Callithrix jacchus: one gene and its partner. Each later gene encodes a partner of the first gene's protein in a complex. Links are inferred from orthologs where the notes say so. Each region holds a gene or a part of one and is shown in the gene's direction. Other genes may lie near its edges. The genes, in order: AAK1 and PDLIM5.

Evidence for each region.
Region 2: the proteins of AAK1 (region 1) and PDLIM5 are in contact, whole or in part, in a crystal structure (PDB 9F6S), measured with the Homo sapiens proteins. The link is inferred for Callithrix jacchus from reciprocal best matches to the Homo sapiens genes AAK1 and PDLIM5. Residues at the interface, in NP_055726.4 of Homo sapiens: Asp956, Leu958, Ile959, Asp960, Leu961; in NP_006448.5 of Homo sapiens: Ala12, Pro13, Trp14, Gly15, Phe16, Arg17, Leu18, Phe24, Gln67, Ile70, Lys71.

Annotation. Positions count from the first base shown.
Region 1 is NC_133515.1:44,373,382-44,377,205, forward strand, and holds part of AAK1 (AP2-associated protein kinase 1), read left to right. Parts: intron 1-1; coding exon 2-156; intron 157-821; exon of another isoform or gene 822-950; intron 951-1,752; coding exon 1,753-2,042; intron 2,043-3,824.
Region 2 is NC_133504.1:102,894,826-102,898,649, reverse strand, and holds part of PDLIM5 (PDZ and LIM domain protein 5), read left to right. Parts: intron 1-567; coding exon 568-688; intron 689-3,824. UniProt on the Homo sapiens protein: May play an important role in the heart development by scaffolding PKC to the Z-disk region. May play a role in the regulation of cardiomyocyte expansion. Isoforms lacking the LIM domains may negatively modulate the scaffolding activity of isoform 1.

The DNA of each region.
Region 1 (3,824 bases):
GACTGACAGATCCCATTCCCACCACAGAGACTTCAATTGCACCCCGCCAGAGGCCTAAAGCTGGGCAGACTCAGCCGAACCCAGGAATCCTTCCCATCCAGCCGGCCCTGACACCCCGGAAGAGGGCCACTGTTCAGCCCCCACCTCAAGCTGCAGGTTAGTATCTAGATTGCTTTGAAGCTCAGTACACCTTTTTGTTATTCAGGACAACAGGGAAATCTTGGAAAGCCTGGTTTGCTTTAGGATTGGAATCTAGAGGCACATAGAGTGTTCCTTGAGGAACAGGAAGAAGCTGCCATTGAAATTGTACGGCAATGGCCAGGCATGGTGGCTCACGCCTGTAATCCCAGCATTTTGGGAGGCTGAGGCAGGTGAATCACCTGAGGTCAGGTGTTAATTTCAAGACCAGCTTGGCCAACATGATGATAATCCATCTCTACTAAAAAAATAATAATAATAATACAAAAAATTAGCCAGGCATGGTGACGTGCACCTATAATCTCAGCTATTGGGGAGGCTGAGCCAGGAGAATTGCTTGAACCTGGGAGGCAGAGGTTACAGTGAGCCGAGACCATGTCTTTGCACTCGAGCCTGGGTGATAAGAGAGAAACCCCATTTAAAAAAAAAAAGAAAGAAAGAAATTGTATGGCATAAGACTGACAAAAGGGGGAACCTCCTTTAATTCTGGGATGGATCTCCAAGACCACTAAAGCCCCTTGTCTCTATCTTTTTCTAGACCTGGCCCTGATTTTTGGGTTTTAGAACCTTATCCTACCACTTTATTTCATATATTTCCCTTTGCCTGTAAAGAAACAAGACTCTTCCAAAGTGTTTTCAGTCCAGAGTATCTTCCCTGTTCTGTTAATTAAACTTTGGGACATTGAAATGGGCCAAGGGAGATGATTGGGTAGAAAGCATGATTCTATTCATTTGCCTCCTAGCCTACAAAAATGCCTGCTTGGGTCTAATAAATCAACAATTAAAGATGCCTAGAAGAGACAGAACTGAAGAGGCTGACGGGCTTGGACTAGCAAACAGGTTACATTCAATTTTAGGAAGTTTGGAGTCTGATTAGCTGAGATACAAAGAAACTGATTTATTTTCATACATGCCCCCCCAAAAAAATAAAAACAAGACTCATCTCTTTTGACATTCGCAGAGGAATATTGTTTCCTTAATGCTTTGCCCTTGAAGTATCTACCACACCTTCATGTTTTGGTATTCTGTTTCTAATGGGATGAATGAGTTTTGTTTCATAAGAAGGATTGATCCAAAATATCAAGTAACTGAAACCTCCCAGGAAGCTGCTTTTGCTGAATGTGGTGGCCATCTACTTATAGTCAAGCATCCAGACTGGGATAAGCTACATGTAAATCACCAGGGAATGATTTTGTCATGCTGCATGCCAAGAGGGGCAAAACTTAGGTATGTGTACCAAAGGCCAGTTGACTATGTGGACACTTAGGGTGCCAACTTAAGTTGTAATTGACCAAATGGGGTGATTAATAAAGGAATACTTTCTTAAGGAGGCAATATTGAACCTTGTTTTAAAAAATTTGAAATACATAATATAGCAAGAAGATAGAAAGACAGTCCACGTGGGACAGAGCATGTGGAAAGACAGTGAGGAGCACACGTATCTTGGGATAATCTGCCCATTTGTCACCCCCTATTAACTGTTTTGGCAACACAGAAAGCCCCTTTTGTCTGGAAGAGTTTGGAGCCCTTACGTGGAGTTTATTCTCTTTGCAGGATCCAGCAATCAGCCTGGCCTTTTAGCCAGTGTTCCCCAACCAAAACCCCAAGCCCCACCCAGCCAGCCTCTGCCACAATCTCAGGCCAAGCAGCCACAGGCTCCTCCCACTCCACAGCAGACGCCTTCCACTCAGGCCCAGAGTCTGCCCACTCAGGCCCAGGCCACACCCCAGCACCAGCAGCAACTCTTCCTCAAGCAGCAACAGCAGCAGCAACAGCCACCGCCACCACAGCAGCAGCCGGCGGGCACATTTTACCAGCAGCAGCAGCAGGCCCAGACTCAGCAGGTAAGGTGGTCAGAGTGTGGCCCTTGCTTGCATATCTGAGTCATGACTATGACAAGGCCCACTGGGTAAAGGCATCTTCCCAGAGAGCCATGAAACATTACTTCACCATTTCTCATAGATGTAGATACTAAAGCATTGAGAAGCGGATCCATCATACACCCCTTCATCCTTTTTCTCAGGCCATGAGGAATCTGTCACCTGATTGAGGAACATCAGTACAAGAGCTATTTTTTAAAGACTGCTTTTTTTTTCTAATATAACTGTAGCACCATTATCATAATAGAGGAAAAAGTAACAATAGTTTCTTATTATCAAATATGCATGAGTGTTTGTTTCTGATGTCTCATAATTAAGTTAGCTTGGTTGAATCAGTATCCAATAAGAACAGATTGTATTAAGTTGGTCTATATTGTTTTCCATTATCTTTTCGTATATTTTTTCACATTTTTTACTATGAACGTATTCATTTTATAATGTTTAGTATATCTTTTTTTTTTTTTTGGAGATAGGGTCTTGCTCTGTTTCCCAGGCTGAAGTGAAGTGGTGTGGTTATAGCTCACTGCAACCTCCAATTCCTGGGCTCAAGTGATCATCCCAGCTGAGTCCGTCAAGTAGCTAGGACTATAAGCATGTGCCACTATGCCTGGCTAATTTTTATTGGTAGAGATAGGGGGTCTCATTATTTTGCCCAGGCTAGTCTCAAACTCCTGGCCTCAAGCCATCCTCCCACCTCAGCCTCCCAGAACACTGGAATTACACACATTAGCCAATGCGGTTGGCTGATATATCTTTTAAGTCCCTTTTTATCCATAGGTTCCCTCTCCCCTTTTTTTTTTCGTTTTTGTCATTTAATTTTTCAGAGAAACTGGATTATTTGTCTCATGGAATTTTTTGCATTCTGGGTTTAGCTGATTGCATGCTGTGGTGTCATTTGAGGTGTTTGACCATCTTCCATGTACACTGGTAATTTCTTGAGGCTTACTCAGTATTCGATTCAATCTGACAGCTGTTCTTTGTTCTTCCTGTTGCATGGTGTCAGAAGGTCTATAATGCCTCGTCCGCCTCTATTTCATTAATATTAAGATCAGGGAGCATGTATTTTCAGATCTCCCTGAAGACCGTGTTTTCCAAAAACATTTAAAAAAGGAAAAAGAAAAAGATCAATCAGTGTGTTGAGCTATTGTCTGTCTGATCCGTTTGTTTAACATTCCCCATTAGCTTAGCAGCCATAGCTGATAATTTCCCAGGTTCCTTAATTCATCAAGAATGGTACAATGATATTCTAACCCTCTTCATTTGGGGGCTGGAAGTTTTCCATGAAGAAATTTTTTCATCAACTCTTTAGTTACCCTGAGGTATTGTTTATACAGAAAAGGCAGGAGAAACTCTTGATCCTTTCCTTTTGTTTACTAGTTTTCAGAGTAATAAATTTGTTCCATCTTAGCATCCAAAGGTGAACAGTGAGGTTTTTGTTTTGTTGAGTTTAGTATCTTTAGGAATTCTTAGATTTTAACATATTTGATATATTTGAATACATTGCTCTTTTTGTATGCCAACCTCATTGGCTAATGTGTGTAATTCCAGTGTTCTGGGAGGCTGAGGTGGGAGGATGGCTTGAAGCCAGGAGTTTGAGACTAGCCTGGGCAAAATAATGAGACCCCCTATCTCTACCAATAAAAATTAGCCAGGCATAGTGGCACATGCTTATAGTCCTAGCTACTTGACAGACTCAACTGGGATGGGGCCTTGCTGTGTTCCCCAGGCTGGAGTGCAGTGACTATT
Region 2 (3,824 bases), on another chromosome or scaffold:
ATACTTTATGGTCCAAGTTTTAGATACTCATTTGAGTCTGTGCTTTAGGGCTGTCATAACTAATTTATGAAAGCCTAAACGTTTAACTTGTTAAACTGATTGGATTACACCGATTATATTATTGCTTCTAGAATGCACCAAAGTATAGGTTTGTTTTAATTTTTAAATGCTTCCTCTTTCCTTCAGAACTTTTGCAGATAATACCATAAAACCTTTGTAAGTTAATGTTTCCTGGCACCCTTTGAGAGGAAGCAGAAAGTTTTGTAGTAAGCACTTATGAAATATGCTTACTTTATTCACTGTGATTATAATGTATAACAGTGATTATTATTTAAGTTTATTGATTGGCATTTGTGAAGAACACGCATCTAAACATGCATCAGTTTAGATGATTTGTGAGTCTGTTCTTATGTATCCTGTTACTTCGAGGGAAAGTTCAAGACAAAAATGAAGTATGTGTGCCTACTTTGGATTAGCTTTACAGGGATTTACTGGTACAGATATTAGAATAAACATTTATGTATTTATTGTCTTCTTTTTTAACATCCAATTACCTTTCTGTAACAGGAAGTCATCAATGCGTTGAAACAAACTTGGCATGTTTCCTGTTTTGTGTGTGTAGCCTGTGGAAAGCCCATTCGGAACAATGTTTTTCACTTGGAGGATGGTGAACCCTACTGTGAGACTGGTAAGATCAGGGAGCCATTTGTTTCTTGAATTTTGAATAAAGGTAAAACATTAACCCATATAAAACTATAAAGTCAAAAAACTGTTAGGCAAAGTCATTTTCTTAATTAATTTGGGAGAATTTAATGTTACTCTAAACATACAGAAAAACAACTATGTAGATTTTTTTTCTTTTGAGATGGAGTCTCACTTGTGTTGCCCAGGCTGGAGTGCAATGGTGCAATCTTGGCTCACTGCAGCCTCTGCCTTCCAGGTTCAAACAATTCTTCTGCCTCAACCTCCCAAGTAGCTGGGATTACAGGCATGCGCCACCATGCCCAACTAATTTTGTAGAGACAGGGTTTCATCATGTTGGCCAGGCTGGTCTCAAACTCCTGACCTCAGGTGATCCACCTGCCTCAGCCTCCCAAAGTCCCAGGATTACAGGCATGACCCACCGTGCCTGGCCTTATGTAGAATTTTTAATGTGACTTTGTCAAAACAGATATTCCCAACTTTATTATAATAATTGAGAATGTAAGCATTATTTAGTAGGAAAAATATTTTGCTTGAATTCCCAATAATTTATGGATATAAATTCAACCAAATCTTGTACCTTAAGGCTACTTCTTATAGTCCAGTAGTGAATTTTGAGTTGTTGTAAACATCAGAAATATTCCACTTTAGAATATGATATTGATTTGCACTTTAAGGCAACTGCCTTGAAAATAAATTTGAAATCCTTTGATACTTTTACTGAATGAGAAAGTAATCCTGACTTGGATTGTTCCCATGGTAAAATGGTTTTTAATAAACTAGACTATAAGGACCTATCTACTACATTTGTCATATCACATAAACTCAGAACTTTTCCTTTTCCTTCCCAAAGTCTGTACATGAACTTTCATAAGATTTATTTATTAATATAACCCTTAGATATTACTATCACATACACATTTCAAAATATAAAACATTTTTCCCTTATCATGCCTTCACTCACTACCATCACATTCTCACTACTGAGTTTTATTCTACCTTGAAATCAAAGTGCTGTGCTAGAAGAATGAGATATTCCAGAATAGTGGAGTTAAAGGAGCAGTCAGCTTCTGAATTGAAGCTGTATCATCATTATTTAGCCCTTCTTTGCCCACTCAATATTCTCTTATTTTCATCTTCCTTTCAGCTCCTTAGTTTGAACCAACCTGGGTATATTCTAGACTGTCTCCCGGGAACCCCAGAAATTCCAGTGAAATACCCCATGGGCTGTTATGGGACAAGTTGGCCACAAGCTGCCTTCCTCGATTCAATAAGAATACTTTATATTTTGTAATTCTACTTAATTTTTCTGAAGAAAGAACTGGGGTTTTTTTGTATGTTTTGTTTTATTTTGATTTGTTTGTTTTAGCAGCTTTGGAAAACATTTTGACTAACTGGCAGGTAGCCCCTATCTAGCCAAAACACATAAAACTATGTAGCCTTAATACCATATTTAATGTATTTGAAGTCATATTTTAAAAAACAAATAATTGCTTATAGAAGAGGAAAAATGTTATTGAATATTTATTTAAATGTCACATCTAATCAACTTGGTCTGTTTTTGTTTTTTTTTTCTTTTAACCCCCAAACCATTTCTGAACCCAGTCTTCTTCATCTCAATAAATAATCTTACCGTCCACTAGCCAAGAACATTCAGACCATGTTGGATTCTGCTTTTTCCCTTGTTCTGTCCTTATCCTATCTAAATAGTAAATCCTGGCAGTTCTACCTCCATTGTATATCACAGTCATTTATTTCTCTCCATCTTAACTGTCACTCAATCTAACTTGCTTTCACCCTTTGTCTGGTCATTGTAATTAGCACCTAAATGGTATCGCCCCTCCCATTCCTTCCAGCCTCCAAATAGCAGGCACAGAGCAGCTGTAGTAATATTTTTTTAAAATGTGAATAAACCCCTTAGTGGCTTCCACTAGAAAAAAATTACACTTTTCTTTTTCTTTCTTTTTTCTTTTTGAGACGGAGTTTCGGGCTTGTTACCCAGACTGGAGTGCAATGGCACGATCTCAGCTCACGGCAACCTCCGCCTTCTGGGTTCAAGCAATTCTCCTGCCTCCGCCTCCCGAGTAGCTGGGACTACAGGCGTGCACCACCATGCCCAGCTAATTTTTATATTTTTAGTAGAGACGGGGTTTCACCTTGTTGACTAGGATGGTCTGGATCTCTTGACCTCGTGATCCACCCACCTCGGCCTCCCAAAGTGCTGCAATTATAGGCATGAGCCACCGCACCCGGCCTAAACATTACACTTTTCTTTATTTTTATTTTTTATTTTTTTTGTTTTTTGAGATAGAATCTCACTCTGTCACCAGGCTGATGTGCAGTGGCCTGATCTTGGCTCCCTGCAACCTCCACCTCCCGGGTTCAGACAATTCTCCTGCCTCACCTTCCGAGTAGTTGGGATTACGTACGGGTGCCTGCCAGCAGGCCCAGCTAATATTTTTGTCTTTTTAGTAGAGACAAGGTTTCACCATGTTGGCCAGGTAGAACTCCTGATCCGTCTGCCTTGGCCTCCCAAAGTGCTAGGATTACAGGTGTAAGCTACCATGCCCCATCAAATTACACTTCTTACTAGGGCCTGTTTTGCCATCCTCATCTACTCCCACCTTGACTTCTGTCACCAGATTCTACCCATACCCAGCCCCTTGGCGTTTTCTGAACATGCTGAGATCCTTCCTTCCTCGGGGCTTTTGTGCTTACTGTTTCTTCTAACTGTAATGTTCCTCATCAGCTTTTCTGTGGCAATTTCTCTTTATTCTTCACTTTTCGTTACAACTGTTACATCTTCAGAGAGGTCTTTTCTAATTTTCCTAAATAGCGTAGTGCCCCCCCAATTATTTTGTATTAAATTACTGTTTTCTTTTTTTCATAGTACTTATGATAATCTGAAATTACTTATTTCTTAAATTCAATAAATCATGACATCCTCTTTCCAATGAGAATATAAGCCCCATGAGGAAAGCAACCTCAACTGTCTTCTTCATCACTGTACTTCTGTGGTGCCTTGAACAATGCCTGGCACACAGTAGACTGCATGGATCTATGCTGAGCAAATGGTGCGAAGGAATACTAAAGATTGACGGTTGCTAAGAAAGGTGAATTGC